Ovis aries: one gene and its partners. The protein of the gene in region 7 purifies or fractionates together with the protein of the main gene of each other region. This does not show direct contact. Links are inferred from orthologs where the notes say so. Each region holds a gene or a part of one and is shown on either strand. Other genes may lie near its edges. The genes, in order: CNOT2, YBX3, CNOT9, CNOT1, ubiquitin-like protein FUBI, LARP1 and RC3H1.

The links.
Region 1: the proteins of RC3H1 (region 7) and CNOT2 purify together in Homo sapiens (affinity purification with mass spectrometry, with the first as the bait; 3 studies listed by BioGRID). This does not show direct contact. The link is inferred for Ovis aries from reciprocal best matches to the Homo sapiens genes RC3H1 and CNOT2.
Region 2: the proteins of RC3H1 (region 7) and YBX3 purify together in Homo sapiens (affinity purification with mass spectrometry, with the first as the bait; 3 studies listed by BioGRID). This does not show direct contact. The link is inferred for Ovis aries from reciprocal best matches to the Homo sapiens genes RC3H1 and YBX3.
Region 3: the proteins of RC3H1 (region 7) and CNOT9 purify together in Homo sapiens (affinity purification with mass spectrometry, with the first as the bait; 4 studies listed by BioGRID). This does not show direct contact. The link is inferred for Ovis aries from reciprocal best matches to the Homo sapiens genes RC3H1 and CNOT9.
Region 4: the proteins of RC3H1 (region 7) and CNOT1 purify together in Homo sapiens (affinity purification with mass spectrometry; 5 studies listed by BioGRID, with this or other methods). This does not show direct contact. The link is inferred for Ovis aries from reciprocal best matches to the Homo sapiens genes RC3H1 and CNOT1.
Region 5: the proteins of RC3H1 (region 7) and ubiquitin-like protein FUBI purify together in Homo sapiens (affinity purification with mass spectrometry; 3 studies listed by BioGRID, with this or other methods). This does not show direct contact. The link is inferred for Ovis aries from reciprocal best matches to the Homo sapiens genes RC3H1 and FAU.
Region 6: the proteins of RC3H1 (region 7) and LARP1 purify together in Homo sapiens (affinity purification with mass spectrometry, with the first as the bait; 3 studies listed by BioGRID). This does not show direct contact. The link is inferred for Ovis aries from reciprocal best matches to the Homo sapiens genes RC3H1 and LARP1.

The regions. Positions count from the first base shown.
Region 1 is NC_056056.1:149,556,161-149,560,922, forward strand, and holds the start of CNOT2 (CCR4-NOT transcription complex subunit 2), read right to left. Parts: upstream 2,951-4,762; 5' UTR 2,908-2,950; coding exon 2,903-2,907; intron 2,641-2,902; exon of another isoform or gene 2,049-2,640; intron 1-2,048. UniProt on the Homo sapiens protein: Component of the CCR4-NOT complex which is one of the major cellular mRNA deadenylases and is linked to various cellular processes including bulk mRNA degradation, miRNA-mediated repression, translational repression during translational initiation and general transcription regulation.
Region 2 is NC_056056.1:204,574,821-204,578,959, forward strand, and holds part of YBX3 (Y-box-binding protein 3), read left to right. Parts: intron 1-678; coding exon 679-801; intron 802-3,752; coding exon 3,753-3,956; intron 3,957-4,139. UniProt on the Homo sapiens protein: Binds to the GM-CSF promoter. Seems to act as a repressor. Also binds to full-length mRNA and to short RNA sequences containing the consensus site 5'-UCCAUCA-3'. May have a role in translation repression.
Region 3 is NC_056055.1:220,543,021-220,547,921, reverse strand, and holds the start of CNOT9 (CCR4-NOT transcription complex subunit 9), read right to left. Parts: upstream 2,988-4,901; 5' UTR 2,850-2,987; coding exon 2,826-2,849; intron 1-2,825. UniProt on the Homo sapiens protein: Component of the CCR4-NOT complex which is one of the major cellular mRNA deadenylases and is linked to various cellular processes including bulk mRNA degradation, miRNA-mediated repression, translational repression during translational initiation and general transcription regulation.
Region 4 is NC_056067.1:25,973,519-25,978,234, forward strand, and holds the start of CNOT1 (CCR4-NOT transcription complex subunit 1), read right to left. Parts: upstream 3,112-4,716; 5' UTR 3,013-3,111; intron 1-3,012.
Region 5 is NC_056054.1:227,146,140-227,148,985, reverse strand, and holds ubiquitin-like protein FUBI, read left to right. Parts: upstream 1-1,608; 5' UTR 1,609-1,668; coding exon 1,669-2,070; 3' UTR 2,071-2,144; downstream 2,145-2,846.
Region 6 is NC_056058.1:63,733,534-63,738,410, reverse strand, and holds the start of LARP1 (la-related protein 1), read right to left. Parts: upstream 3,118-4,877; 5' UTR 2,677-3,117; coding exon 2,238-2,676; intron 1-2,237. UniProt on the Homo sapiens protein: RNA-binding protein that regulates the translation of specific target mRNA species downstream of the mTORC1 complex, in function of growth signals and nutrient availability.
Region 7 is NC_056065.1:54,645,826-54,649,964, forward strand, and holds part of RC3H1 (roquin-1), read right to left. Parts: intron 3,059-4,139; coding exon 2,908-3,058; 3' UTR 1-2,907. UniProt on the Homo sapiens protein: Post-transcriptional repressor of mRNAs containing a conserved stem loop motif, called constitutive decay element (CDE), which is often located in the 3'-UTR, as in HMGXB3, ICOS, IER3, NFKBID, NFKBIZ, PPP1R10, TNF, TNFRSF4 and in many more mRNAs.

The DNA of each region.
Region 1 (4,762 bases), on a different chromosome or scaffold from region 7:
ACCTTGGCTTCTTTTGCTTCTTTGTGTCACAACATCTACTAGATGTCTAAGTAACAAATAAAATCTTAGTAGTATCTTTTCCTAACATTGTATCACTATTTGCATAAGTTGTTCTCATGCCTAATAAGCAAGTACATGGACAGTTTGCTTTTAAATATGTAATTATAACAGAATGAACTTTCTACAGTTAAAAATGTTAAGACAATTAAAAAATACTGTTTAACACTGCTTTTAACAAGCCAAAAAAAAAAAAAAAGTTGACTTATTTTTATCAATCTAGTAACGTCTAGTATTATTTCATATGTAAACATGAAGCATACTTTTTCTTTTCGCACATTATTAGAAAATCTTATGAAGCATATTTGTGAATGAAAAGGTAAACCTATCATTTCCCAGAGGTTGCAAAAGACTTTGCAAAGGTCTTTCAAAATACAAATACTTTTAATACCAGTATCTACTGAAAAGATTAAAAACCAAAACAACTGGGTTAGAAGCACTTCTAATAAAATCTACTCATAAATCTAAGTAATTACTTTTGAACAAAGAATTTTCAGATTATAACTAACTGTGAAGTATCTCTGAGAAATCAAAGAGTAAATTAAACATCTAAAGTTATTAAGTAAAAACATAAGTAACTAGGTCTCGGGGAGGAATATCATTCTGAAGTTTATTTTATCTTCAAGATCAAGTAATTCGAAATGGAAGGGAACATGAATCACTCATGCATTATGCTCTCATTTTTCTGCCACAAAAATTTACTTTAAAACTAAAGTATTTCAGAAACTAAAAATCTTTAAAAGGCTGTATCTGTTGGTTGGTTAAATATATAAGCAATTCTAATTCCCCAAGAGTATCAGATTAGGTTACAGATATCTTTATACAGTATACTTATAATAAAAGGGTTCTGCCAAAAAACGATGCTCACAGTATTTTTATTGTTGCAGCATTAATCAAGATGCCAAAATGTGAGTTTCTCAATTTCTATCTAAAATACAAAGTAATCACAGAAGTCACTGGACTTCAAGCCCTCAAGCAGGGGAAAAAATGAGAGAAAAGAACCTTTTTAAAATTAAATGAGGATCTTAAAAGGTCAAGAAACAAGTGGAACACAAGTTCTCTTCTTTTTACATGTATCTTGTATTTTTCCTTTAGGTTTAATATTACACAAGAACTACAAACTGAAGAGATGTTCAACACGACAAAGTTAACTAAAGATCTTGATCTACTAAGGAGTATTTCAGGAAAAGAGATCTGAATGTACACATCAAACTGTCTGAATGTAGCCATTTAGTCATTTCAGACCACTGCGATTCTTAACCAACTCCTTACACCTAGGACAAAGTTATCTTCCAAAGTTGCAAGAGAGACGTGTTCACTGGTAACACGTTTGAGAACTTGTCAAATATACTAAGTATTTACAAACAACATAAACCCAGTATGTAAACAAATATTTTCAAATTTCTATCCCCTGCCTCCGTATTTATTACTTCCACTTAAGTTGTTTTAAGGGGCAAATAAAGCTGCACTTAACGATTCCAGAGGTCTAGAAATTCCTAATATCAAGCATGACAGAAAATTTGTTCAGCTTTGAACTCTAAATTCAAGCAAGGCCTCCCTCGTGACAGATTCTAACTAGGTGCTTCCTACCATTTCACCAAGAATCCAAGGGTTGCTATCAATGTATTTAATTATTAGAAAACGACTAGAAGATTAAGAAAGGAATAGAATTCTCTGACCAAGAGTTTTATGAAACAAAATGTATTGCATTCCGTCTTCTGGATGTTAAAAACTGAAGGCATCTGCTCAGATTCTAAGAGAGTTGATGCTTAGGTTCCTCTCAAGAGGGTGGCACCCGTATGTAAGACTTTTATGGTTGTAATATCGTACCCACAGGGCCTGAAAGAAATGCAAACTTAAGACCTTGGAAATGTTCTCATTAAAAACAAAAACAAAAAACCTCATATTCGCTAAGGACCACAGTTACCAAGAGTTAGAGGCTTTTTCTCCTAAACGGACAAGAGCCTGAACTAAGTTTTAACCCTACTCACTTCTTCCGTGAACTTTTCAGTTAGACTCAAGACAGCAAAAGGTGGAGAGGCCCCGGCGGAAGTAGAAACCTAGGGCTCGCAACTTCACAGACCGAGGCGTTTCGGGTTCCTCCGCCGCCCCAGGACTCTCCGGACTCAGTCACTACCAGACTACGGAAGCTTCACCCTCCGGGTGCGGAAGCAGAGGAAGCATCACAGTTGCACTCCTCCTTCCACCATACACAGCCTTCGGTACCCCAGGGCCTGGCAGCTCCTGAGACCCGTTAGCCAGTCCAGGATCCCCCATCTTTCACATATACATACACAGAAACAGACAAGTTGCAGATGATGTACGTGTATTGAGAATGTGAAATGCCAAAGACCGGGGCAACTGCTGGGAAGGCGGCAGCGCCGTCTAAAGCGGGCCCGGGGTCCTTGGCCACCGCCGCTGTCGCCTTCTCTTCTTCCCCAAGAAGCAGCGCGGCGGAGGCTTCTCCGTGCTGGCGGGAGCCCGGGGGAGAGGAGTCTGGGGGAAGCCCCAGCGCCAGCCGAAGGGACAGGGCCTAGGATCCAGAACTGCCGCTGCAGCTACCCGACTACAGCGACGCTTTACGTCCCGTCCACCACCCTCCCTATACACACCCCCTCCCTCCCTCCACCGCCACCACCCCCCCTTCCCCGCCCGCTCCGCTCTCCCTCTCTCGATTGGAGCCGAGACAAAAGCAACGGGAAGCGGCGGGCCGGGACGCTGCCCGCGGACCCCGGGCGCGACCGGCCCGGCCCCGAGGCATTCCCCCGCCTTGCGAGGGCCCCGAATCCGCCGCTCCCGCCGCGCGCCCCGCTGCCAGACTTCCGAAAATTTGCCAAAAACTCACCGCATGAATTTTCTTGTCCCGCGGATCCAAGATGGCGACGTATCCACCGCGGAGGCTGCTGGGAGCAAGACCTTTACCCTCTGACCCCCGCCGTGACCCCCGCCGTTCCGACTTCCCTCCAGGCGGCGGCGGCGGAAGAGGGGAGCGGCGACTGTGGACCGGACAGAGTTGGGGTTGGGTAGTCTGTTTCTCACGCGTTGGAGAGGGTACTCGGAGGGGCCCTTCAGTACCTCGCTTTCCTCCTCGCGGCCCCCACCTTCTCTCTCACCGACTCACCGGGAGGCTCGTAGCTACTCCGCAGTCGTTACAGCGAGTAGGAACTCTGCTGCCGCTAGGCTCCCCTGGGTCCAGGTTGCTTCGCGCGGGCCACGGGCCCTAGGTCCGGGAAGGATCGCGGGGTCCAGGGGCGGGGAATGGTGAGGTGGCGTCGGTCCGCCCTTCCCGGGGACTCGGAACGTGTTTGTGTTTGTGTTCAGCACTTCATCCCCCACCCCTCTACCCCCGTCGTCTGCCTAGTACCGGCCCTCCCTCCCTCTGCTCCCTGAAACGCATCTGATCGCTGTCCAGTTTTCTTCCTTCAGACCCCGAACCCTCCGGTGCTTGTGCGCGCACTTCCAGGGACCAGCAGCACGTCACCATCACTTTCTGAGAAGTGAGTGATCGTCAGCCGAAACCGTTGGTATTTTAACTCGTCACGCTTCCTATTTTATTATTATTTTAACTTTTTGGGAGGGAGCGTATTGAGGGAGGGGGCAGGTTTTTGAAACTCTGTTGGTTGAGCTTTCCTGAGTCAGACTAATAGCATTTTCTCATTCTCACTCCCCAATGCCCACGTAAGCTGGAGTGACTGCCTGGGCTATCAGCGAGACCATCTGAAATTACGATGGCTTTTTTGGAAACTTCAGCAGAGTCTCTGCTTCCCAGAAAAATAATTGTTGCTCAAAGTAAAATTAGTTTTCTTTGAAATAATAACTCTCTCTCTATTCGTTTGTATATTGCTCAACTCTTCCCTCTTGCTTGATATTTTTGGGCCTGAAAAAGAGCATTTGCATCTGTATTAGGAATCGTATAGTTTCATAAAGTGAAAATTGTTACTTCCTTTCTAGTTGAGTTATAGAATTTACTAATGTAAAGTACACTTTATTTGGGGTAAATAAAGTTTCTACTTCCCTTGTTTTGTTTCTTTTATAAAATCATCCTTCCAAAAACTGACTGTAATCCAATTTCAAATTTATAACTGAAGGGAAAAGGACATCTGTCAGTCAAAAATAGCAGGAAAAATAAGCGTACTGTTAAATTATAGATGACTTCTATGTTCATAAGTTACCAAGTATTTCCATGAATTAGTAGATCCTGTGTGAATTTATTTAAACTCTTAGGTGATGCTGATGTAGCCAGTAGAAAATGTTTGCCTGGTTGTTCGTTTTATTAAACATTCTGCTTCATTGTGTTCTTTTTTACTTTGGGAAAATTCAAGAAGGAGCAAATCTTCTTATGTCCTTCCCTCCCTTTTTCCTCCCTTTCCCCCAACAGTTCCTTCCTGCCTCTTCATCTTTCTCTTCAACTTTGTAAGATGGTGTGTTAAAAGATTAAATACCTTTAAGTACATATTAATACATATATCTGTGTATTACTGAGCTTTTTAATTTAGCTATTAATAAATTGAAAGTCTAACTGATATTTGGAATTGTAAGATAAAATGAGAAAAGTTGGATGGATATGTGTATGGTAACATCAAATATCAGTTTGATTTATATAGCAAATGTTGTCTAGTTGCCAAGTCATATCTGACCCTTTTGTGATCCCACGGACAGGCTTCTCTGTCCCTGGGATTTCCCAGGAAGGAATATTGGAGTGGGT
Region 2 (4,139 bases), on a different chromosome or scaffold from region 7:
TTACTTTATCCGCTTGTCCGTAGAGAATCTGAAGGCTATGTCTGTTTCGACAATCAGATCTGAAGAGGGACTACTTTAGTGGACACTGTATGAAAGCAGGAGCTGAGTCAGCAGCCCTTCATTCCTGCCATTGCCACTGGGAGGAATTTCTCTCTCACTAGCTCAGTGCTGGACAGACCACGTGAGCCCATGAGTGGATTCTCTTGGTACCTCACAGAGTAACAGGTTTCCGTATTTTCTAGGAAGAGAACATTATCTCAGTTATTTCCAGTGAAGAATATTCTTCCTGGTCTGGCATTCCTTTGCTCCAGTTGCTTTATATTTACCAGTTTTGCATTTCTTAAAGAAATATATATACATATTGCTCTTGAATCAAGAGAGCAGAGGTTGTGGAAGCACGCAAGCCGTATAGACATCCATTATTTTTTTAACTTTTTACTTTATATTGCAGCATAGTTGATAAACAGTGTTGTGTCAGGCGTCATGCTGTATACATTTAAATCAGGACATCAAGCATCTTGCTCACCTTATTAAAACGAGGGTGTGTTTTTGAGGTCACCTGTAGGAACTTCTAGTACCTCTTGCCAGTCTTAAACCCTCTGGCTGTCTAAGGCGGTGCTTTCGGTCGTTTGGCTTCTTTCTGACTCGAAGGCCGTCTTTGCTTTCTTCCTTTCTCAGGGTGCAGAAGCAGCCAACGTGACCGGCCCGGATGGCGTTCCAGTGGAAGGGAGCCGATATGCTGCTGACCGGCGCCGCTACAGACGCGGCTACTATGGCCGGCGCCGTGGACCGCCCCGCAATGTACGTTGTCTCCTTCATCATCAGTGACCCAAGAAATGTGCACATCTAAAATTAAGTGTGTATGTTTGAAGCACATAAAAGCTGTATCTTCTGCTGGAAACACAGTGATTTTTTTGGATGGGAAATTTTTCATGTTCAGAATTCATCCCCACTGGGCTTATGCGACATTTTTGCCATTCAGCAGTTTTATCCGTTTGTTTGCATTTGGCTGCAAGTAACAGCCATTTAATTATCATGTAACAAGAAGGCTTAACTTGGGCCATGCCAAGGTTGTCAAAAAGGTTTTTTCTTCTTTTGGCTCCTTTATCGGCCAGAACCGAACCATGTGACATCCACTGGGTGGGGTAGGGAGAAGGGGCCTGGGATTTCTGTGATTGGCTTACATCTGGTGTTCATCCCTTGGCGCTGACCCTGTTTATTTCTAAAGTCAGCCTTTCCTTGGCAAGGAATAGTGAGGAACAGCTCTGGAGTAAGTGATGGACAGTGCTGGCCACAGAAATATTAAGTGATTTGCCTCAATTATGTAACTTTTATTTAGGATAGCATTTCCCATTATTTCAAAGTTAAGCAACAATTAAGTCTGAATTTTTAGTCCTGTAGATTGGTACCAATCTAAGTGAAAGGGTTTACAACCAAGTCTGGCTGCAGGAGGCTCAGTTTAAAGTATTCTTGAGGCATCCAACTTGTGGTCATGAGGACCCTCTTAGATATGAGTCATTTTTTAATGTTTCTAGAATTAGTACCCGGGATTGGTACTCTGGAATAAAACTCAAGATGCTTTGTGAACACAGGATTGTGGCTATGTGCGTCATCCAGGGAAAACTTTTGAAAAAAGTCTCACCAGAATGAAGTATTTGCAGACTGAGAATGGTTTATATCTCTACACTTTGATAGAATAGTATGTTTCTGCTTACCTAAATGTTTCCTCTCTTCATTGTGTCATCTTAAACATGCAGCCCAAATTGGTTTTTATCAGATTCCATGTGATATCTTGTTTTTCTTCCTGTATTTCTCTTACCCATGTTTTGCTTATCCTGTTTAATTTTTAATAATAAACTGTGTCAGAGACAGTAGGAATAGGCTACCATAGCATCTACTACGTTGTGTTAACTCTTTCAGGTTCACCAGATTCACGGAACACTAGTTGTAATTGTTTTGATTTCTAGGTTACCTCAGAAGTACAAGTGGTAAAAAGCCTTTAGTGAAAAATTTTCCTTCAAAGACGTTTCTCCTCAGCTCGAAATTCTGAAGTCATGTGTGTGACGTTTAGAAACAAAATTATCAAAATTCTGAAAATCAACATAAATGAAGGTTTTCTGTTGTGATGTCTTCTAGGTCCTGACAGCTTCCTGAGTGTGTTTGGCAATGGTGGTGCCATTGTTGTTATTTTGTAAAACTAATCTTAATGAAAGATTTGGCTATAGAAAACTCAGATACAGAGAAACCTAAAGAGAAAATTTATAGTTTATTTAGTCACACTATTTGGCAGAACATTTTCTATGCTAATATGCCTTTAAATCATTGGAGACTGTATCTGATATAGATTTTATAAAGTATAGAGTTACTTGGATTTTCTGAAATTAGACTAGTTGAGGCTATGCTTGAAGCTTTTCCTCTTTGAGAATTTTGTTGCTCATGTGGGCTTGGTTTTCTGGAGAGTTCTAAATCTTAAATACTCTCACCCCCAACATCAGTCATTTAATTTTCTTCATTCTAAGTTTGTTCATTTTTTAAAAGCTATAGTTACTTTACTTAAGACTACCTTTGGCATTGCAATTCCCCTTTAAAGTAAGATTTGAAATAATTCTTTAAGGGATGTTTAGCTGTTTGCTTATATTTTTTGATATAAAATGTTAGTATGTGAAATGGTAGTTTAAATACAGGGAAAAGACAAAATGAATCAATAATTCCTTGTGTTAATAAAGTTTGTTATATTCAGAAACTGTATTTATTACTTGCTACTATGTATTAAAGTGCAATTAAAACTTTATTCCTAAACAAATAAAGAGAGGTATGCCATAAGTCAGTGGTTCTCAAACCTTCTGGTTTTTGGACCCATTTATATGCTTAATTATGGGATGCCAGAGTTTTTATGTATATTTATATCTATTAATACTTATTGTATTGGAAAGTAAAGCAGAATTTAAAAGATTTGATTTATTTTAAAATAAGCTATTACTTGAAATACAAATAACTTTTTTTTAATGAAAGCTAATTTTTAATTGAATGAAAAGAGTGGTGTTGCTTTAGGTTTTTGCCAATCACTGATGTTGGTTTAATAAAAGACAGCTGGTTTCTTACAGCTCCTTCTGCCTTGGTGCTGTGAGGGACCATGTGTCACTGTAGCTTCTGGGAGATCCAACCCCCCTCCTGCCCCCAACTCAGGAGAGAATGAGATGGGAAAAGACAGCATCCTGCCAGCCTTATGAGAATAGTTTGACCTTGATGACCCCCTAAGAAGGATTTCAGAGACCCTCATCCACACTTTGAGAACCCAACCACTCCAGGAAGCAAACCACTTAGGACCAACCACAAAATATACAAAACATATTTTTCTTTACTTTGCCCCAGTAGATGACCAGTGTTGGGGAGACACATTTGGTGGAGCCAAATATTCTAAACTGTGTAAATGTTTTTTGGGTGGTTAGTCAACTGATACTGACATTCTAACTAGATGCGAACTAAATTCTTTAGCGATTAATTGCACTTGCTTTTCTGCTTCTTGGTATTTTATCTGCATAGATCTGCTTTAATGTTAATGTAGCTTATCTCAGGTCATCACCTGATGATCCGGGGTAAATGCATTTTTGTCGATATACTAGAAGGGATCGTTCCTTTGGGGGAGAATTTTTTGTTTGTTTGTTTGTTTCGTTGATACTCAGCCTAAATGGTATTCTTTGCTTCTTTCCCTGCCGACACCTCTCTGAACCTCTGTTTCTTTGCTTCGCTAGTACGCTGGGGAGGAGGAGGAGGAAGGGAGCGGCAGCAGTGAAGGACTGGAGGCCCCCGCCGCTGCCGGGCAGTTCTCTGGGGCCCGGAGTCAGCCGCGCCGCCCCCAGTACCGCCCCCAGTACCGGCGGCGCTTCCCGCCTTACCACGTGGGACAGACCTTTGACCGCCGCTCCCGGGTCTTCCCCCATCCCAGCAGAATGCAGGTAAACCAGCACCTGGGACTTCTCTCCGGCAGTCCTCACCCCTCCGTCCTTCCTCTGCCTACTCTTCCTCCTCCTCTTCCAATACCAGCGGCCGGAAATCAAACCTTGCTTTTGGCTTCTCGATGCTGACGCTACTTAACCCAAGCAGACTAGTCTGCTCTTTGAGACTGGTCCTTCTAGTCT
Region 3 (4,901 bases), on a different chromosome or scaffold from region 7:
TTGCCCAGTCGTGTCTGACTCTGCAACCCCACGAATCGCAGCACGCCAGGCCTCCCTGTCCATCACCGGCTAGCACTTTCTTATTCTTATTTAATACAATCCTGTGTGGTACTTCTGTTTTTATTTTGTTAGATTTGAGAACGTAATTATATTCTGTGATGGCAATAATGAAGACATTAGGACGAAGTATTCTGTAAAGAATGAAGAGTCCAACCTACTTGAAATTATTGGCATAATAAAATATCAAGAGTCAATATTTAAGATATCCCAAATGATCTCAATTCCTCCAATCAGTGAATAACATACTGCATTCATATGTGATCACATTCTCCTTTGATACTACTGCCTCCCTAGATGAAGTCATTATTTATTTGCAATTAAAAAATAAAAGGTATACACAAACACAAATTTTCATCGTTAGACAGAAAGCAAGCATCTTCTCAAGCAGTTTAGATTATTGTAGGCACTGTTGGATGTCTTATTGACACAATTTTTAGTGAGGAATATACACCATCAGAGGATGAGATGGCTGGATGGCATCACTGACTCAACGGACATGAGTTTGAGTAAGCTCAGGAGTTGGTGATGGACACTGAGGCCTGGCGTGCCACAGTCCATCGGGTCAGACGTGACCGAGCGACTGAACTGAGCTGATACACCATCAGTGTCCCTTTAACCAGATGAGAACAATACAGTCAGTTTAGCCTAAAGGAAGGCACTAAGGATTGGGAAAGGGGTGGCTCAACTTTTTTTTGCTTCATTCTCTTTATTAACCAAATATTCCAGTGAATAAATAGTACAAATGAACTTAGAGCGTTTGTGTAGTCCAAATAGCAAAACGGGTGAAAAAAAACACCAAAAGTTCAATTTCTTAATAAAGGTAGTCACTGTAAATTTAATTGAAGAAACATGCATTGAATATTTTAAGTAATGAACCAGAGCTCTAATGGCTGTTTGAAAGATGTATTAGGGAGCAACTGAAAAGAAAAGTTGAATAGGTAGAGACTGGGGAGGCACAGGGCAAACAGCAGCTTGGTATCAAAACCTAGAGAAGTCACAATCAGATTCTGAGACATAGACAAGCCAACCTTAGAATTCTTTGTTTAAACTGTCCCCTCCAAACAGCAGCAACCTCATTTTCTGACTGGCTTCTTCTCATGTTAGTCACTGAGTCCTGTCCAACTCTTTGCAAACCCTCTGTCCATGGAATTATCCAGGCAAGAATACTGGAATGGGTAACCATTCCCTTCTACAAGGGGTCTTCCTGACCCAGGGATCAAACCCAGGTCTCCTGCATTGCAGGCAGATTCTTTACTGTTGTATTACATGTAAAATGTGGAAGAAACAAAAAAGCTGGAGAAACTGCAGTCACCTAGTTAAGAGATTATATAAAAGGTACCTCACCCTGTTAAGTTTCAAACACTTTAGAAAGAAGGTGCCAGGAGGCAGAGATGCCACTAGCCCTGGAAATGACAAGGCTGTCTGTAACCTAGTCACACCCAACTCACTTTTAAACTTTAACTTTTGTCTTCTATTAAGGATTTATGTCATTTTACCTGGAAATGCAACTTCAGTATATTATTCTCTCTTTAAGCCACTTCGCCTTGATGCAACTGAAAAAAGTTGGATAAGCATTCCGAAGAGTATGCTCAAATCACATGATACTGTCTGCCCATCACAGCTATTTGCTCTCAGTGGTCACTGCCCTCATCAATACCCCGGCATTCAGCAAAAATATTTGAGCCCTTACTTGGTGCCAGGAACTGTCCTGGCACTGAAGTAGTCATATAAACAGGATCTACATGATCCCTGTCCCTGACCTCAAAAGGGGGACAAATAAGAAGTAAATGAATCAAAACTTGGTTAAAGCTTAAGTAGAAAAGTTGGAACGGCGGCCAGTTGTAGCTGGAGCCTGCAAAGCAATGTGATGAGACTGAAAACAGGGGTAAGGAACATTAACGCTCAGGGAGGGCCTTGTAGGCAATGCAAAGTGTTTGGGTTTTATCTCAACAAAACGGGAAACCTCAGGATTACTTTAGCTAGGTTGTGTGTTTGTCGCTCAGTCGTGTCCACCTCTGTGCGACCCCACGGACTGTACGTAGCCTGCCAGGCTCCTCAGTCCATGGGATTTTCCAGGCAAGAATACTGGACTGGGTTGTCATCTCCTTCTCCAGGGGACCTTCCCGACCCAGGGATCGAACCCAGGTCTCCCGCATTGCAGGCAGACTCTACCCTCTGAGCCACAGTGCATGGTTATTAGGAGTTTACACTGTTTTTCTTGATCAAAGATCACGCTGGTAAAAAGAGATGTATGAAAAAAGGTTTTAAACGCAGAGAACCGTAAGTCAGACATCCTAACTAGTCACTTGTTCAGGTCTCGGATTTTGTATCTGTAGAGCAAGTGGTTTAAGCTAGAGGCCGTTTCCTCCCCGCCGCGATGTGCCTAGGCAGGGAGGGTCAGATGCACCTCGGAAGTCCCCTCGTCCCCGCCAACGCCAAGCACGCAAACGGCGGCCTAAAACTGTTGGTAGAGCAATGAATCAATGAATGGCCCCCCTGGGCCGCAAGGGAGGCGCTCCAGCCGCGCGACCAGGCCCCGGGGCCGGAAAAGAACGCGCTACACCGAGCCAGAGGCCGCGAGAGCCGGCCGGCAGGGAGAGTGAGGGCAGGCTCCGTCACAGCCAAGCTCAGCGAGGAGGGGGGCCGGGTCTTCGCGGGTTGAGGGCTGGAGGACTCTTAGCCTGCCACACGGAGCTAGGAGAAAAGGCCGAAACGCGGGGTTGAGGAGAGGTCTGGGGCCCAGGCTGGGCGGCCCAGTCACTTACCGCAGCCGTCGCCAGACTGTGCATGTTGGGAGAGGACGCCGCTCTCCTCCCACTGCCGGACGCGCCAAGCCGCGTCCCAGCTTCAGCGCCTCAGCCGCCGAAGATGATGACACGCCGCAGCCGCCATCCGCCTCCGGCTCGCTCCGCCCCCTCCGCAGCCCTCTGACCTTTCACCTCTGACCCCGCCCACACAACCTCTTCCCGCCCCACCCCCCCCAGCTCCTGGAGTTAATCCTCGAGTCTGTTTTGCCCCTGAAATTTCAAGACCGGAAGGACACCCGCCTCCTGCTAGTCTCCCCCATCCCCAGCTTGGAGCTGGTATCTCCAGAGAAGGGCGTGAACTCTGACCTTCCTCCGGAGGCCAGTGAAGGGCGGGAAAAACCGGGCAGACCGGGAGGACAACAGTGCGCATGCCCAACTGGACTCTGTAGGAGGGAAATGGTAGGAAGGCGAAAAGTGCGTGAAGTAGAGAGTGCGCGTGCGTACTACGGTCCGGGCAGGGGCGGGGCTACCTCGGCGTGATTTCGCCCGGTACTGGGGCGGAGAGAGGGCGTAGAAAGGGCGGAGTTTCCAGGCTTGCGCGCACGCGCTACTCCTGGTCGCGTCGGGTGTGCGTGCGTGCGTGCGTGTTTGCGTGTGGTCACAGTTCCCGCCATCAGCCGCTCTCCCTAACTGGGGGACTGAGCGGCCCCTCTCCGTGCCCGGCGTCCCTTCCTTCGCGACCCCCAGCTCCTCCCTCTCCACGCGGACTCCGTGCTTCCGGCAGGCCTGTCCAAAGCTCCGACTCGCAGGTACAGGTAAGGCGGGCCCGGCGAGCGTCTCAACGGAGCCGTTTTACCCTGCCCCCCCCCGCCCCTCACTTCTCGCCCCGTGCGGTCCGCCCACTCGGCGTTCACTCTTTTGGAGTTCACCGGCTGCGGTTCAGCCCACCCCCGTTCCCGCGACGCCCTCTGTCGCCTCACAGGTACTCCACTTGTGTGTTCCCCTAGGCTTTTCCTCTCCTTTGACCGGGTCTTTACTGTCACTCGCTGCCCCCCGTGACCCAAACCTGGCCCCTCTTTGCTGGGGGCTGTTGTTGTCCGTCACTCGCCCTTTAGCGAGGCCTGCTATCTCTTCAGGTGACTTCCGTTGCCGCATGTCCATCGGGCCTTGGGATATGATACTGTTTCACTTTCTTGGCTATTCTTCACCTCTCTCCTAGTCATCTTTCACTCAAAGGCATAGATTATATTTTTTTTCGTGCCTTTGGTTGTTCCCCATCTCTAGCCATCAAATCAGGTTGTCAGGTTTACCTATTTTAGGTCATGATCTGTGAAAGGAAATAATAATTTATGACAAAATCCTCTGTCTAGAAAGTTGGTCTGTGGGTGGTTTTGTAATCCTTTCAAAATTTAGGCTCTGTGTAAATGCCTCTTGGGGGTGGCAGTGTCTGACATGCCTCTAACTGGAAGAGCTGTCTGAACAGAGGATGTCAAGTAGGCAATTGGATTATACTGGGGTTGGAGCTTAGTTGTAAGCTGGGTGTATAGATAAATGTGTGTGTGTGTGTATGTATATAGACATCACCTATATATAGTTGATAGTAATTGAAGTAATTGATAGTAATTGAAGCCATGGATGTGGATGAAATTGCCTGAGGAGAGTGCATTGCTAAAAAGGAAAGGGACCTAGGATGGAGCGCTGAGGGATTCTTGGTGTTTAGTAACCTGATAGAGGAGTACAAGTTTTGCAGAAAAGATGAAGTTATCAATGATGTTGAATTCTGTTGAAAGGTAAAGACAAATGACTGAAAAGCTTGTTGACATCAAAGTAATCGATGATCATAGTGAGAGATGTTTGATGGAATAAAATGGATATCTGGGGGCAGTCTTGTTCTCCTTTTACTGTTCCCTTCCACCCTAAGCTTTAGATTCTACCTGTATGTTGATGGTGAAGGACAGGGAAGTGCGGTGTGCTGCAGTCCATGGAATCACAAAGAGCTGGACACGGACTTAGTGACTTAACAACAATAGATGACTTGAGAAGTTTTATTTCCAGTGTATTTCCTCTGTTTTCAACTCAGAGTCTAAATAGCTA
Region 4 (4,716 bases), on a different chromosome or scaffold from region 7:
AATGCTTTCACTTTACATTTCATATAATTAGTCCAACACCACAAAACAAAAACAAAAAAACCCACAACAACAAAACCTACACCTCCACTGCAGACACTTTAACATCTCTTTCAACATTCTAATTTAGCCTAGAGGTAGAAATGCATTTTTTTTTCCAGAAATGCATTTCTCAAACCTATACTCCATACTCCCAAAGGCTGTATTTCCTTCAAATCTTAACACAGGATTTCAAATTAAGTCTACACTTCTACTGACTTCTCAAACGAGTTTTTCAACGAATAATTTGTTTTATTTGCTTTGCTACGTTCCCGCAAATACATGAATGAAAAGTACCTTAAAATTAACTATTGTGTACATAAAAGGATGAAGGATTTGAGCCCATTTTAGCTTTGAAATATGCTTCTTAAACATTGTGAGCAAATAGGAAAGGAACTGCATGATCTTTCTTTATATAAGGTCTTAAAATAAGACTCAGTAGGATGCCATTTTGAAACTTCCCCACAGGAAGTTCAGTTTGGAAAGAGGGCCAGTTAAATGCTTCAACCAATATTTTTTTAATGACTTACAAGTTAGTTTTGCTTTCTTACCAAAAAAAAAACCAAACACCAAGTTTATGACTGGTACTGCTGCTGCTGCTAAGTCACTTCAGTCGTGTCCAACTCTGTGTGACCCCACAGATAGCAGCCCACCAGCCCCCCACCCCGACCCGGGATTCTCCAGGCAAGAACGCTGGAGTGAGTTGCCATTTCCTTCTCCAATGCATGGAAATGAAAAGTCAAAGTGAAGTCGCTCAGTTGTGTCCAACTCTTAGCGACCCACAGACTACAGCCCACCAGGCTCCTCCATCCACGGGATTCTCTAGGCAAGAGTACTGAAGTGGGGTGCCACTGCCTTCTCCAAATTTTGACAATTCAAGAATCATAAACATCTTACCAAAAATAAGTGTCTTGAAAAATCTGGGCATCCAATTTAAATTACTGTAGGTAAATTCTCTTCCATAGTATTGAGTAACAAAGATTTGTTACACAGTAGAATGAAATAAAGATTCAAGTTCATAAATTCATAAACTTAAGTTGGTTAAAAAGAAACTTCTCGTAACTAGATCAGGAGCTAACCAAAAATATACTTGGAAAAAGGAACATTCAAGCAAATTTGATATTAGTCTTTAAGCATACTGTCAAGAAATAAGCATTTCCTCTTCTGTTTTTTTTTTTTTAATGACTTAACCCAAAGTTAGGAGGACATTACGGTACTTAGCCTGACAAGATCCATATTAAAGAGACCAGTACTTAAAACCCCAGCAGAAATCTAAGAGACTGTATTTCTCTCTGGCTAAGCCAGAGATCCATTTGAGTTAGGAACCAAAAGCATTTCAGTTGTTCCACAATAATGCCAGAAAAAGGTGCCTTAAAACTGCTAAGATTACAATCTTAGGCAAGAAGAGGGTAAGACGTTGTTACTGATGGTCAAATCTCTGCCTTGTTTCCACGGAAGGAATTGGGACCCTTCACTTGTTGAAAAGGGACCAACTCTCCAAACAAGTATTATCATGCGACCATTTCAAAGCACAACTAGATGCCTACAACGTTATGTATCATCAGCTCATTTTCTCCTTAGACAAGGTAACAATTTGGAATGTCCTAAAACAGGATAATTTAAACTGTTACCAAATATCTTATTAAGAGCTAAAATACTACACTGCCAAATCTCTGGAAGGACAGATATGACAACCTGAGGATATTAAGCCCAAATACTTCTACATAAACAAGTTTGTTCTTAATCTGTTTGACCTACTTCCTGATTTTGTATTTGTCCAATCATTTTTCCATCCGTGTATCCCTACTCCTATCAAACGGACTGTCACGAGGTAAACACTCAGAATTTTCTCCGCAAAAAGTAACCAACTATGCTCACTCAGTTATTAACTGTTAAACTCCCCAAGGCAACTGAATTACAGAGAAATAAAAAGAGAGACTAAGAGTTAATACTCTCAGGAAAAAAAACTTTTAAGAGTCCTAAAATATGTGATGTTTGAGTGACTTCAAAGGGAAAAGCTTCCTGCTCAAAGTTTATTTTAAACACATCTCCAAACCCACAGACATCAAGCATTAAAGTTTAATCCTAGGAAGGGTACTCATCTGTGGGAACCCACTTGGGTGAAATCTGCAGAGGGGGTGGGACTGAAAAAGAACATTTGTGCTTTTGGCCTTATGTAACCCCCTGGAGACCCATAGTATCTCTCACGGAGGCCTCCCAAATGCTCGGCTCACTACGAGAGCTCTTCTCCTGGGCGAGTAGCACCACTACTACAGAACAGACACTGAGCCAGGTGGGTGGGGGCCGACTCTGGAGACTGAGTGAGCGCCCGGGCGCGCGAGTGGAACAAAACCTGTGGCAAGAAGTAATGAGGAAGTGCTCGCTCCCGCCCGCCCCTCCCACCGGCGGACACCCGAAACACCCGGGGTTTGACAACGTGCTGGGGGCGGGGGAGGGGGACTGGCAGCTCCAGGTCCACCGAGAGGAACCCGGAGTCGGCAACTACTCCGAACACGGGCACCTCGCCCCCCCCGCCTCCCCGGAGCTAGGCCTCCGAGGCCGATGCCCGCAGCACCCATCCGGCAGTTGAGAAGCTCGTGGAGTCTGCGAAGGGTGCAGTCCGCGCGAAGCGAGGGCCCAGCCGCCCCCAAGTGCCGCCAACACCGCCCTCAGAGCCGCCAGGCCCGGGCAAGGGGGGGCCAATCCCGGGTCTCATTCCGCGCTCTGCCCTCGGTTTCCTAGAGCTTTCACCAAGCCCTCTTCTCTCCAGAGGCCGAAGACTCCGCGGGCCGAGGGGAGACAGTCCGCCCTCTCCCGCCTCGCCACTTCCCCGTCCCGACTGCCCCTCACACCTCGGAGCCCCGGGAAACGCTCCCAGTGGCCCCGGGACCACCCCCGTTCCTTCCCGCACCGGCACCCAAGTTCCGTAGCTGACACCGCCTGTCGGCCTCGGCACCCGACCCCAGCCCACCACACCTCAAGCGGCTCCGACGGCGCTGGACACAGGAAACTCCTGGGTCCCCGACTCCGGTTCTCCTAGACCCCCTCTTCGGTTAACTCCGCTTGTTTCTCTACAAAATGGCGCCGGAGGTCGCGCGCTCACGTCGCGGCCTTTCCCCTCCCCGTTCCTATTTCATCATTTGCTGCCCGCCCGAGAAGGGATGGACCCAGCACCAGCCAATGAGCGCACCCCGCCTGTGGCTCCCGCCCAATCATCGACAGGTGCCCGCGGATTTAAACCAATCACACACTATCACTTGCAGAAGTCAAGGAAGAAACCAGGCTCCTGCTAGCAACTACCAATCCAGACTCCTACTTCGCGGGCTTTGGCCAATTGCCGTTCACCAGTCCCCAGGGACTGGAGTCGGAGCCCTCGCGCCTGCGCTCGAGGCGAGGGCCAATGGGGAGAAGCAGATAACTTCGATTTGGGGCTTCATGGACTTCCCACCTGCCCTCGAGATCCTCGACCAATGGGGGTCTGGCAAAGCCTCTGAGAAACACTAAATAAAGGAGGGGGCCCTTAAGCCTTCTCCACCTTGCGCGGGAACTATTATGAGTTAGAGTGAAAAACAGCCTTCCAGTACTCTCCTTTCTCTTTCGAAGTGTCAAGTGTCCGGTAGACCACGGGGATTCCCAATCTTAAACACTCCCGTCCTGCCCCGCGTCTCTTTGGCGGGGAACGCCGGTTACCAGAAAACTACAAGCAAGCGAGGCTCTAACTAGCGCTCTGGCGCTTTGCATCCTGGGATGTGTAGTCCTCCCCCTCCGCCCATCCCTGTCGCAAAAGTAGTGCGAGTTCCTCCCTCATTTACGACGCCCCAGGAAGAGCAATGCATTCTGGAGAACGTAGTCCCATTTGGTCCTCTCATGCTCCGGTCAGGAGAACTTTCCTGTCTAGTTCTGCCTCTGGAAGAAGGCACTCCCTACGGAGAAATAGGAAACTCTCGGGTTCTTTGTTTGGCTTAGTCCCTGTTAGTGGTAGCAGAAGGAATACTTATGCCCTTTGCTGTCGGGAGAAAAAAATGTAGAAACATCTTTTTTAAGATTTTGTGGTTAAAAAAAGATTTTGTGGTCACCTGTATCCAGCGAAGTGAGGGAGGAGAGTGAAGAAGTTGGCTTAAAGCTCAACATTCAGAAAACGAAGATCATGGCATCTGGTCCCATCGCTTCATGGGAAATCGATGGGGAAACAGTGGAAACAGTGTCAGACTTTATCTTTTTTGGGCTCCAAAATCACTGCAGATGGTGATTGCAACCATGAAATTAAAAGACGCTTACTCCTTGAAAGAAAAGTTATGACCAACCTAGATAGCATATTCAAAAGCAGAGACATTACTTTGCCAACAAAGGTCCGTCTAGTCAAGGCTATGGTTTTTCCAGTGGTCCTGTATGGATGTGAGAGTTGGACTGTGAAGAAAGCTGAGCGCCCAAGAATTGATGCTTTTGAACTGTGGTGTTGGTGAAGACTCGTGAGAGTCCCTTGGACTGCAAGGAGATCCAACCAGTCCATTCTAAAGGAGATCAGCCCTGGGTGTTCTTTGGAAGGAATGATGCTAAAGCTGAAACTCCAATACTTTGGCCACTTCATGTGAAGAGTTAACTCATTGGAAAAGACTCTGATACTGGAAGGGATTGGGGGCAGGAGAAGGAGGCCTGGCGTGCTGCGATTCATGGGGTCGC
Region 5 (2,846 bases), on a different chromosome or scaffold from region 7:
AACAGACAATTAAATAAACAGGTCATTACTCTTTAATACAGCAAGTTGATAATAAACAAATACACATGTGCTTTAAATAATTAGAGGTTAGAGGTCAGAAATTGGATAAGAAATCAGAGCTATGCATACAGACTCTCAGATTTCTAATAAAGAATATGAAATTGAAGCTGTAATTCAAAATGTGTCTTAAAAAGAAAAGCAGTGAAGAATGGGGAAGCAGAGTGAAACTTGAAGAAAACACATAAAGTTTAGGAGAATGTAATCTAGTAAAGAAACTAGTGAAGTGGCATTTAGAGAAGTTAGAAACAGCTCAAGAACGTGCATCTATCAGAAGCTAAGAAAGAAGTGAGTTTCAAAAGTGACGAGTACAGTCTCCCAAGGCAATAGAAATAAGAACAAAACTAAACAAACGGGACTTAAACAAACTTACAAGCCTCTGTGCAGCAAAGGAAACCATAAACACCAAAGATAGCCTATGGAATGGGAGAAAGTATTTGTAAATGATGTGATTGACAAAGGCTTAATTTCCAAAATATACAAACAGCTCATACAACTCAATAACCAAAAAGCAAATAACCCTATCCAAAAATGGGCAGAAGACCTAAATAGACATTTCTTCAAAAGACATGCAGATGGCCAATAGGCACATGAAAAGATGATCAACTTAGAGAAATGCAGATCAAACCTACAGTGACCTCACACCTGTCAGAATGGCCATCATTAAAAAGTCTACAAGTAATAAATTGTGGAGAGGTGTGGAGAAAAGGAAACCCTCCTACACTGTTACTGGGAATGCAAGTTGATGCAGCTATTATGGAAAACAATAAGGAGGGTTCTCAGAAAGCTAAAAATAGAATTACCATATGATCCAGCAATCCCACTTTTGGGCGTAAAACTGTAATTCAAAAAGATACACGAACCTCTGTATTCACAGCAGCACTATTGACAATAGCCAAGACATGGAAGCAACCTAAATGTCCATCAACAGACGAACGGATAAAGAAGCTGGGGTCCATATATACAACACAACACAGCTCAGCCATAAGGAAGAACAAACGAATGCCATTTACAGCAAAATGGATGCAGCTAGAGATGATCATACTCAGTGAAGTCAGAAAGAGACAAATACCTATGATATCACTTATATGTGGAAACTAAATTATAACAAATGAACAAATCTTTGAAACAGAATCACAAATACAGAGATCAGACTTCTGGTCGCCAGGAAGTAAGGAGTTGAGGGAGAGATGGTATAGGAAGTCGGGGTTAGCAGATACACGCTTTAATATGTAGAATGGATAAGCAACAAAGTCTTCCGGTATAGCACAGAGATCTATAGTCAGTATCCTATGATAAATCCTAATGGACAAGAATTTTTAAAAAAGAATGCATATATGTGTATAGTTGAATTACTTTGTCATACAGCAGATACTGACACAACAGTGTAAATCAACTGTACTTCAACTTAAAAAATCACACGCACAGATGTGACCAGTAAAATCCAACAAGCACATGACAAGTAAGTAATCAGATATATAAGGCAAATCGAGAAAAAAGGCAAGAAGGCCAGTGAATTTGGCAACAACAAAATGTTGTTAGAAGCCTTTAGCTCTTTCTCGACTCCATCTTCGCGGTAGCGGCAGCGGTGTCCGCGATCTAGTCGCCAACATGCAGCTCTTTGTCCGTGCCCAGGAGCTACACACTCTCGAGGTGACCGGCCAGGAGACGGTCGCCCAAATCAAGGCTCATGTAGCTTCGTTGGAGGGCATCGCTCCAGAAGATCAAGTCCTGCTCCTGGCTGGCACGCCCCTAGAGGATGAGGCTACTCTGGGCCAGTGTGGGGTGGAGGCTCTGAGTACTCTGGAAGTAGCCGGCCGCATGCTTGGAGGTAAAGTCCATGGTTCCCTGGCCCGTGCTGGGAGAGTGAGAGGTCAGACTCCCAAGGTGGCCAAGCAAGAGAAGAAGAAGAAGAAGACGGGCAGGGCCAAGAGCCGTATGCAGTACAACTGGCGCTTTGTCAATGTTGTGCCCACCTTTGGCAAGAAGAAGGGCCCTAATGCTAACTCCTAAGTCCTCTGTAATCTTGGCTTTCTCTAATAAAGCCACTTAACCCGATTAAAAAAAAAAAAAAAAAGAAGAAGCCTTTAAAAGTACATTTCCAGTGAAATAATTTGTTTTTTACATTTCTATATATATTCACTGCATTGATTTCTAACAAAAACTGTTTCCCAATAGGTAGCCTTTTGCCATTTTTATAAGACTCACTGGAGATATTTACCAATTAAAAACAATCATTTGGATTGATTCCACCTGGAATCATTTTAAGACTTTTGCTTAAAACACAGTAGCCTTGTGTAGAGCACGTTTTTTGTTGTTGTTTCCCTGAAAGAATTTTATTTTTTTAATGCCACTGGCATTTAATTTTTGAGGTTGCTAAAAATATTTTGTATTCCATTATAAGTTTCTCTTCTTCTTTGACTCCTTTTTAGAAAGAAAAAAAAAACAACCGTTTATTTTGTATTGGGGTGTTGCTGATCAACAGTGTTGTGACAGTTTCAGGTGAACAGCCAAGGGACTCAGCCATACATATACATGGATCCATTTTCCCCCCAAATCCCCTACCATTCAGGCTGCCATATAACACCGAGCAGAGCACATTCTTAAATAAATCACTTAATCACTGGATTTTATTTTTCTTTCTGTCAACACTTTATAGATCTCAAAGATACAGCTAACTAAAATCTCCTTGATCCATCAATGACCATGGTAAAGGCTATGCTGGGTGCTTTCTTCCAGGGAATGATAAGAATACCAGATTATTTCTCACTTATATGAGGAATCAAAAA
Region 6 (4,877 bases), on a different chromosome or scaffold from region 7:
GAGAAGCTACTGGATTAATTCAGATTTGTCTGTCGAAGACTATTCTGAAGGTTCAATACTAATGAGCAGACCAGACACTTCCTCGCCTAACAAGAACAGAGTAAGTCTACTGGACTTAGAATTTTGCTTTGGGCACTTAAAGCAAGTTGGCTTTTCTATTCAGACGTAAAGGCGAGATGCCAGCCAAGCTGTCTTCTTCCCACGATCAATAACCCCGGTGACGCACCCTACCAAGGGCCCCTAGACTTGCACAAAATGCCAGCTCAGACATCCAACACCACCTGATGTCATGGCTGATTTAAAACCCACAAGGCAGGTTCACCATTAGCAGAGCAGCAGCAGCCAGAGTGAGTAGCCCCATTTAAACTTCTGAGGAGTGCTCTCTCCTCCGGATGATTATACCCTGAGTTTAAAGAGGGGGGAAGGACCAAAGAGTATCTTCAAATTGCTTTTCCTCCCTCCGTGGGTGGATCAGGAGAGATTTGCAAGAAAATGGAGATTTCAGCACTGCCCTTTGCATAAGAGGGTTCTGGAAGGAAAAGGGGGGGAAGGGGAGGAGGGCAAAAGGAAGAGAACACGGTTTGAGGTACTATTAGTAAAAGCCAAAGGTCCCCTCCCCCAAATGAAGCAATCTTATAAAGAAATAAAAATTACAACATGCCATTTTCAGAATTCGGTGTTCTGGTTTCCCTGGGACTACGAGGGATTCTATTCCCTTGAATGTGAAAGCATTAAGCTGCCCTTTCAACTTTCCCCATTTTGATGGTTTTTTTTTTTTTTTTTCATTTTGATGGTTTAAACCAGTCAGTCTCAAGCAGAAGGGGAGGAGTTCTGAAAAAGCCGTAGGGCTATGGCCACAGGCCATCGTAGTAGCTCCAATTGGGTTTTAATACCGGCTCACTGCAAGAAGATCCTGAACCCAAGAATCCAGCCCCAGGGTGTCTCTACGGGCCGGCAAAGGGAGCAGGGCGGGCGCGCCCCCCACCAAAGGCGAAGATCTATTTTCGGCAAAGGAAGGCCTGGCGGAGACTCCATATTCCTTACCCTCCTTCCCCCACCAACAAGGCTCTGCGGGGACTTCCCGCACACCCACCTCCCCCGAGAGGCCGGGTCCGAAAGGACCCAAAGAAGTCGAGGAGGGAGAGGGAGGGCGCGCCGCTCGGCGGTCACATGCCGCCAGCCGCGCGGGGAGGCACCACGTTGTCCCGGCTGCGGAGGAATGCCGGGAAGGGGGGACGCGCACTCACACCCGCGCACACGCACACTCCCGACCGCGCCGCCCGCACCCGCCTTCCGCCCCGAGCGCCGCGGCGACCGCCGAACGCCCAGGCCGAGCGGCCGCGAGCAGCCCGCGGGCCGGCGGCGCGGCGCATGGCGCCCAACTGTCACCCGCCCGTCCGGCCTGGCCCGGCCACTCCCTCCCCCGCCGCCACACGCCCCTCGAGTCGCTGCATGCCCCCTTACTCGCCTCACATTTCCCCTCACTGGACGCCCCGCACACTCGCCATCCGGCTCCCTCACAAGGCGGAAGGTCCCCAGGATCAGGCGAGGGAAAGCACCGAATTCAATGACACGTTGGGTTTCCTCTTCTCCCCATTCTCCCCGTAACCGACCCCTCGAGCCGTCGCCCACGGCCATTCTACCGCCTAACACCATCTACTCGAGAACAAACTTGTTAACTTTTAAATCCCGAATCTGTGTGGTCGGTATGCACTCATCGCCGGGCGTTTTGCTGCCTATGACATATACTCATTAAACATTTACAACACGGGGACGATAGCAACGCTACCAAAACGAGGAACACGGGGCGGGGGGGCGGAGGGGGCTTCCCGAGGAAGGTTCAGGCAAGAAACCGTCTCTCACACAGACACGCGGTGGGGGCGGGGGGGAGGGCCCCTTTCACCGAAACCAGCGCCCGCCCCTCTCCCCGCGAGATAGGCCGGGACCACGCCGTTGCCCACTAACCGCTGCGGCCCAGGCGGTGGCCGTAGCCTCCTGGAGGCCGGGCCCTGCGGCAGGGGCAGGTTCCCGAGTGTGCTGGGGTGGGGGGGGGGGGGGGGGGGGGGGGGGCAGGGCACGGCGACCTGAATTAGCCAGGATAATGGAAAAAAAAAAAAAAAACCCGAGTCACCACGACCCACTGCGGCGGACCCCCGGGCCCTGGAGGCCGCTGGGGGAGGGGACGCCTATGTCCCCGGAAGAGGCCCCCGGTCCCGGAATACCAAACGGAGACCCACCTGGAGGAGACTGTCCGTTCACGGTGGCCAGGACCGGTGGCAGCGCGTTCTTAGTCCACGGGTTCACCTTGGGCGGAGGGGCCTCCACGAAGTCTCGGCGCCCGGCGCCCGCGGCTCCAGCAGCTCCTCCGCCAGCGCCCGGCTCGCCGCCGCCGCCCTCCTCCCCGTCGCTGACGGCCAGGCCCTCGGCGCCGGGCGGCTGCGGCGGCCGCGGGCTCTCGCGCTCCAGCTGCCCGGTGCCTTCCCTGTGCTGCTTGGCGCAGGGCGGCCGAGGTCTTCGGGTGCCGCCGTCCGGCTCCCCGCCTCCGACGTCGTTCGCCCCCGGCTCGCCCTTGCCCTCGGGCGGCGGCAGCGGCTTCTTCCTCACCAGACCCCCGTGATCTTCGGCCTGCAAGAGCGGGGCGCCCCCCGGCAGCAGCGGCTCCACCTGAGTGGCCATCTGCGCGCCCGCCCCCCCGGAGAAGCCGGGCGCGCCCGAGGCTGCCTCCCCCGCCTCGAACTTGGCTCTCAGAGAGCCCGCGACGCCTTCCTCCGGGGCGCTGGGCCCCAGTCCCGGCGGAGAAGGGTCGGGGTTCACGCTAGGCACGGCCCCCCCTCCCGGTCGGATGCAGCCGCCGTAGATCCAAGGCCCGCTGGCGGGGCGGGGGGGGGGGGGGAGGAAGGCCCCCCACTCTGCGGTCCAGGCCTCCTCGGCGCGCGTCCCCCCCCGCCCGTTCCTCGCAAGGAGCCCCCACCCGGAGCCTGGCAGGCTTCTCGTCCCGTCCCTCCCTCCCCCCCGCCCCCGGGGCGGCCCGGGCTTCCCGGCACGGGGGCTGCAGCAATATGGACGGACGGGGGAGAGGCGCGGCGAGCCGAGCTGACCACGCGATCCGCGGCAGGCGGCGGGCGGGCGCGCGCCTCGCGACGCAGCGGGCAAGGGGAGGGGACGGCGCAACGGGGGCGCGCCCGCCGGGGCTGGCCCTGGGCGACGGGCGGGCGAAGGCGGCGGGAGCGCGCGCGCAGGGCCTCGCGGCCCCGCCCCTGGTCCCGCCCCTGGCCTCCGATTCCTCGGTGCACCTCCCCGGCTGGTGGGTGAGGGGTACTCAAACCGGACCGGGGCGAGCACGTGCCTGATACAATTCGGAAGGGGGGGCGGTCAGCAAGCCGGGTAGGAGAGACCGGGTGGTATAAAGAGGGGGAAGTGTCTTAAAGAGCCAGCGCGTGAGAGCGTCCGCAGGTGGAGCACATGGGACCGCGCCACGCGGCTGGCGGGGCCTGCTCCTGCTCTTTAGGCTGGGTGCGCCAGAATCTGGGGAAAGAGCCATTAATATCACCCTAAGCTTACAGGATGATGGGGTGGGGGTGCTGTCGCCTTACTTGCGTGCCATAGGCCTGGCCCCTCCAGGCCCCGCCTGGGTGACCTTGGGTGAGCCGGCCTCACCTCCGCGGACTGTGCTCGGCTCCTCCCAGGCAGCCCTGGCCAGGTCACTGTGCGGACACCTGGCCTAGAAGACGGGTCTTTAACCCTTGGGGGCATCGGGCGTCTCGGAAGTGAGCAGGAAATTACCAACAGCCCCCAACCCGGCCAAGCCCTGAAACTTAGTATTTATGGGCGAGAAATGTCTTTTTTTTTTTTTCCCCCTCCCTCAAATGGACTTCAGTTTTTATAAGAATTGCTTGGGCCAGAGACGAACCAACGCCGAATTGGAACTCTCGAGATCCGAGATTTTATCCTGACCCTGGTCCTGCCCCTTACCAACTCTGCATTAGTTGGGTCTCAGTTTCCCTATTATAAAATGAAGACAGTGGTTTCAAATTTTAGTGCACATTCAATTAAATATTTACTGTGGGGGGTTTCTAGGGACAAGGCTTGGAAAAAACAAGGCTTGCAAGGACCTCATGGAATTTGCATTCTGAGGTGGAGAAAGAGTAAAACAAACTTATGAACAAGAGCTTGTCTCATATCTATGAAGACAGTAGCTACTACCGCAGTAGGTCACTAGATCAGTTACTTTAGTTTGGATGATGAGGGAAAACCTTGAATGCAGATTCCAAAGTATTTGGAATCAGGTATGTCTGGGATTGGACCAAGAAACTACATGTTTAGCAAGAACCCTGTTGGTGCTTGTGGTCCCACACTTCACTTGGAGGAGTCCTGGCCTCTGGCTGGCTATGATATCACCTGCTCAAGACATAACAGCCAAGAGTGTTAGCCATCTCCAAAAGAATTAGAACACATGACCTGCTGGACAAAGAAGGCTTATTGAAAATCAGCCTTTTGAAACTGCCCCCAAGGGGTGAGGTTAGTTGTAGGGTGGTTGTAACCAGGACCACTGGGGAGAGGTGCTGGTGGGGACAACCAGACAATCTGATGTGTGGTCCCAACTCTTCCATAACGTGGTGTCCACACCTTGGCCAGCTCTCAGCACTTCACTGGAGCCCCTTCCCTGGTAGACAAATGAGGATAAATTATGCTTGACTTGCTTCTAACCTCTCAGCTTTTGTGAGGAGACAAGTGAGACAACTTCAGTCAAACAAAGTACTATGTAAATTATAGAGACTGAGGCCAGTGCTTCAAAAGAGATACAAAGAAGAAAATGATTAAATGATTAAAGGGATCTTGATGAATTAAAACAGATTCTTTGTTGTTACATTATATAT
Region 7 (4,139 bases):
GCCTTTTAATTCAGAAGAAATTAACATTTGAATAAGTAAAAAGCCTAAAGATGGAATTTCCTATCTGACTGGCTTCATCGTTTTAACTGTCTCGGGGAATAAATCTAAGAAGCCAGAAAAGTCAGTATCTTTCACAGATTTTAAGAAAAAAGCAGTTAAAAAGTCAAACGGTTTTGCCAAAACAGGCCATTGACCACTATAGGTTCATCTTACAGGCACAGTGGGACAGTATACCTTCCTCTTGCTGTTCTACCCACCCAGATTTCCTCTCAAGGGTGGAGTATTAGAGAGGTATAGACAGAATTAAGGCTAATTTAAGAGATCCCCCATCCTCACTCCATGAAAATACCTTAAAAAGAGAGACTATTTTAAGTCAGTCTAAAACAGTGGCTTTCTGGTTTTATTCAGAACAGGAAAACATAAATTAATCTCTCTTTCTACCTAGCTTAGAAAATCAAAATGGTGAAAGAATGACTGTATTTGAAGGAAATAAACAATAACAACAGAACTTAAGTTATTAGGGGTTTCAATAGATACCCAAAATGGAATTTTACTTTTACTCCATATTTCAACAAAATCAACATCCATAAATTTCTTTTTAATACCGGAATCATTCTGAATTCCAAACTGAACCAACTGCTCCTAAAATTTAGGAATTATCTAACATGTCCAAAGGAGAAATAAGATCTGCCCAAATCTGCCTACAGAAGGTTAGAGGCCAAGAATGTTGCCTTTTATGGTTAGAGAGAGAAATTAAAGATCTCAGGACTCTGTCAGACATAAAATTTCTCTCCTTCTCCTCCCCAAAACAATAAGTACTTAAATAGTAAATGTAAGAGGGTTTTAAGCAAAATAAATGAAAAAAGGCAAAAAAGCAAATGTATTTTTTAAAAATAGGAAAATATGGATATCAACTGATAAAATGCCTCATCTTCATTCAGTGCTTCTACCTCCCAATCAGTCATTTTATCGCAACAGCTGCGCTCATGCGAAAAAATCCATAAAACATACCCAATATATATACAGATATAGCTATGTATATATGTATATATATAATATATATATATAAATTTTTATTTAAATAAAAAAGAAAGCTCGAATCCCAAGCCAATATGTGTATATCAAATCCTTGACCAGCCAGGTCTGTAGGGCATAATCAAATTCAATGTGAAATAGTATATAAACACGGTGCCTTGACTGGGCAAATTAAATAATTGCTACTCAAAAGAGTGTTCTGTTTGGACTCTCCTACTGGTAGGCAATGGCAGGACTGTATTACCCTCCCCCCTCCCTTACCCCCCAATTGTTTCATTTAATAGTATGATAGACACAGAGCTTAGACTGAGGTGGTTATGACCTCAGCAGGAGTTACGGGTTAAGAAAATAAGAAACAAGAAAAATACAAACTCTTGCTTTTACCCAACCAAAGCAATGCAGTAACTTATTACATAACCAGTGCTTTCTGTTTTAGCAGTATAATCCAGAAAAGGAAATTTCTAGAAAATCAGGCAAACATATACGGTGGGTGACTATGTCAAATAATCCCCACTAAACACATTTTATATGGTTTTAGTTCAGTATAGACATGTGGCATCAGAATATGTGCAGCAGAATTAAATTAGAAAAATTATTCCTTATTCTCTTCAACATTTTCATGAAGAGTCTTTTCAGTATAGTGAAGCCAAGTCTACAAAATTGACTTCTAGGTACTTACTACCTACCTACTTGTGCTAATGGTTCCAAAAGGCAACTACTGATCAATTTGTAAACTATCCTTAAGATTTAGGCAGTTCTCATTTGCCAAATCTCCTTGAAAGCCAGGGGCTCCAGTATATAGGAATTTTGTACTTTTGGTTTTTGAGAGTAAAACAAAACATTCATTGAAATAATGTGGCTCTGCTCATTTTAAGTTCAATCAAGTGTTGAGCAGTTTTAAAATATGGTGGATTGTCCTGGTTTTTGAACATTCTATGATTTCAGAAATTGAACTTGGGAAAGCATTGCTCTGAATTTCCAGTCATTAGCTCAATATAGGTAATAAACTAAATATGTATTTCCAGTGCTAATAAAATTATAGTTCATCCTTAAAATAATTTCCATTTAAATCTAATCAAGCACTCTAAAATTGACTTGGATTTCTGATTACATTAAGAGAATGAAAGCGGTTCATGATATGAAAATGAGGTCTTCAAAAATGAATTGGTAATTATTTCTCAGAAAAGCTGAAATAAACACAAAAACAAGAAATAAAGTCCTCCTGAGCAACAACAAAAAGTTTTAATGCCATATGAAAAACCTCCCTACACATGAAGCTTGTGACCCAGAAAGAAAGCAAATTATGGCTTCCAAATAATGGCTCTTGGAAAAGTTGCTCTGCTGCACATTTTCTAATAACTAGTCTATTACTATTTCTCAAGCACCACAGAATTCTCAGAATGGCCGGGGTCTTTTAGTCTGTGGTAATTTATGGGGTTGTGAGAGGACTGGGGGTACGGAATTATACACTGGGTATGTAATAATACCAAAATACAAGAAAAATCTACTTCATTAAGATCATACAATTAATCAAACAGAGTGTATATATAATATCTTCTTTTTTTTTTAAAGCCCTGGATCCAAGGCGTCCAAAGTTATTAAAATAAAGTTCATTCACAGAACAAAAACAAATTTAATCTGAATTGCTTGCAGATACTGCTAATTTTCTTTTTCTTTAAATTAAAAAATGCATTAATGTGAACTATGTGCAGAGTTTGTTTTTAGTAGTGATGTTTGTGCACATTGCCTCCGGTGCTTTTCCTGGATTTCTCTGACCACTCTCAGAGAAAGTTTAAGAAGTTATCTGTTCTCCTACCCCTATGCCCCACAGACTGGTTAGGAGCAGAAGATAAAGGTAGGACTCCTCATATTTTAGGGAGTAGAACTGGATGTAACTCCTGATCTCTGGGAGTCATTATTGTCCCCTCCTCCCTCAGGGTCCTCTGACAGGTTCAGAGAGCTGGTCTTGTTGGACAGGAGGCTGATATTCTCTTGTGTCAATGCTGATCCATTAGGCACGTCACTGTTAACATTAAAAAAAAAAAAAAGAGTTGGAATTTTAAAAGAGGAGAGAAAACTGGTTATTAATAGAATAAAATCAACAGGGCCTTTCTATATAGCACTATGGAAAATACATGAATGGCTTTCAAACTTTAATTTACAGCTCTATATCCATGCTTTATTTTAGCATATGGGCTGGCAAACTAAGACAAGCTAGGTGACTGGTTTTTGTTTTGTTGAGCTGTTTCTATAACAAAGTTTTATTGGAATACAGCCTGCCCATCTGTTTACATATTGTCTATGACTGCTTTCACATTACAACAGCAGAACTGAGAGTTCTGACATGGATAGTAAGACTAATAATTTTAAATATTCACTATTTGGCCTTTAGGAAAAATGCTGACCCCTGCTTTAGCAGGTTTACTAGGACAAGATAACACATGGATTTAAACAGACAAAAACTTAAGCCTGGAAGCAACAGAGCATCAGAAATTGTTGTATATCATCAGGAAGGCAACTCAGGACTATGCATTAAAAGCCTCAAAGTGCCCTAGCTGCAAAATATCCTAAGGTTCAAGATGTACAAAGAATTAACTACAATATATTTTTTGCAGGGTTGTTCGTAATAGTTGATATGTATTCTTCTGTACCTGTAGAAGACTAATGGGTGATATGGATAGACCAAATTAAAAACCAGGAGGGATAGAACAGGGGATATGTGGGTGAAAGAGGCTAAATGCCTGCACACTTAAGGGTATATAGACATCAAAATGTTAACAATGGTTTTAAGGGGAAGAAGGAGATCGAAGCAGAAATTTTCATTTCCTAGACAGATAATTCAGGATATATCTATACAGGATATAACAGCTAATTCAACCTTGACTCTATTCTAAAATAAGTTTTATTAACTCCTTTTTGTTGTTTAGTTGTTAGGTTGTGTCCAACTCTTTGTGACCACATGGATTGTAGCGCTCCAGGTTCCTTCTATCCATAGAATTTTCCAGGCAAGAATACTGGAGTGGTGTGTCATTTCCTTCTCCAGGGGATCTTCCAACCCAGGGATCGAACCCAGTGTTTCTCCTGCACTGACAGGGAGGTTCTTT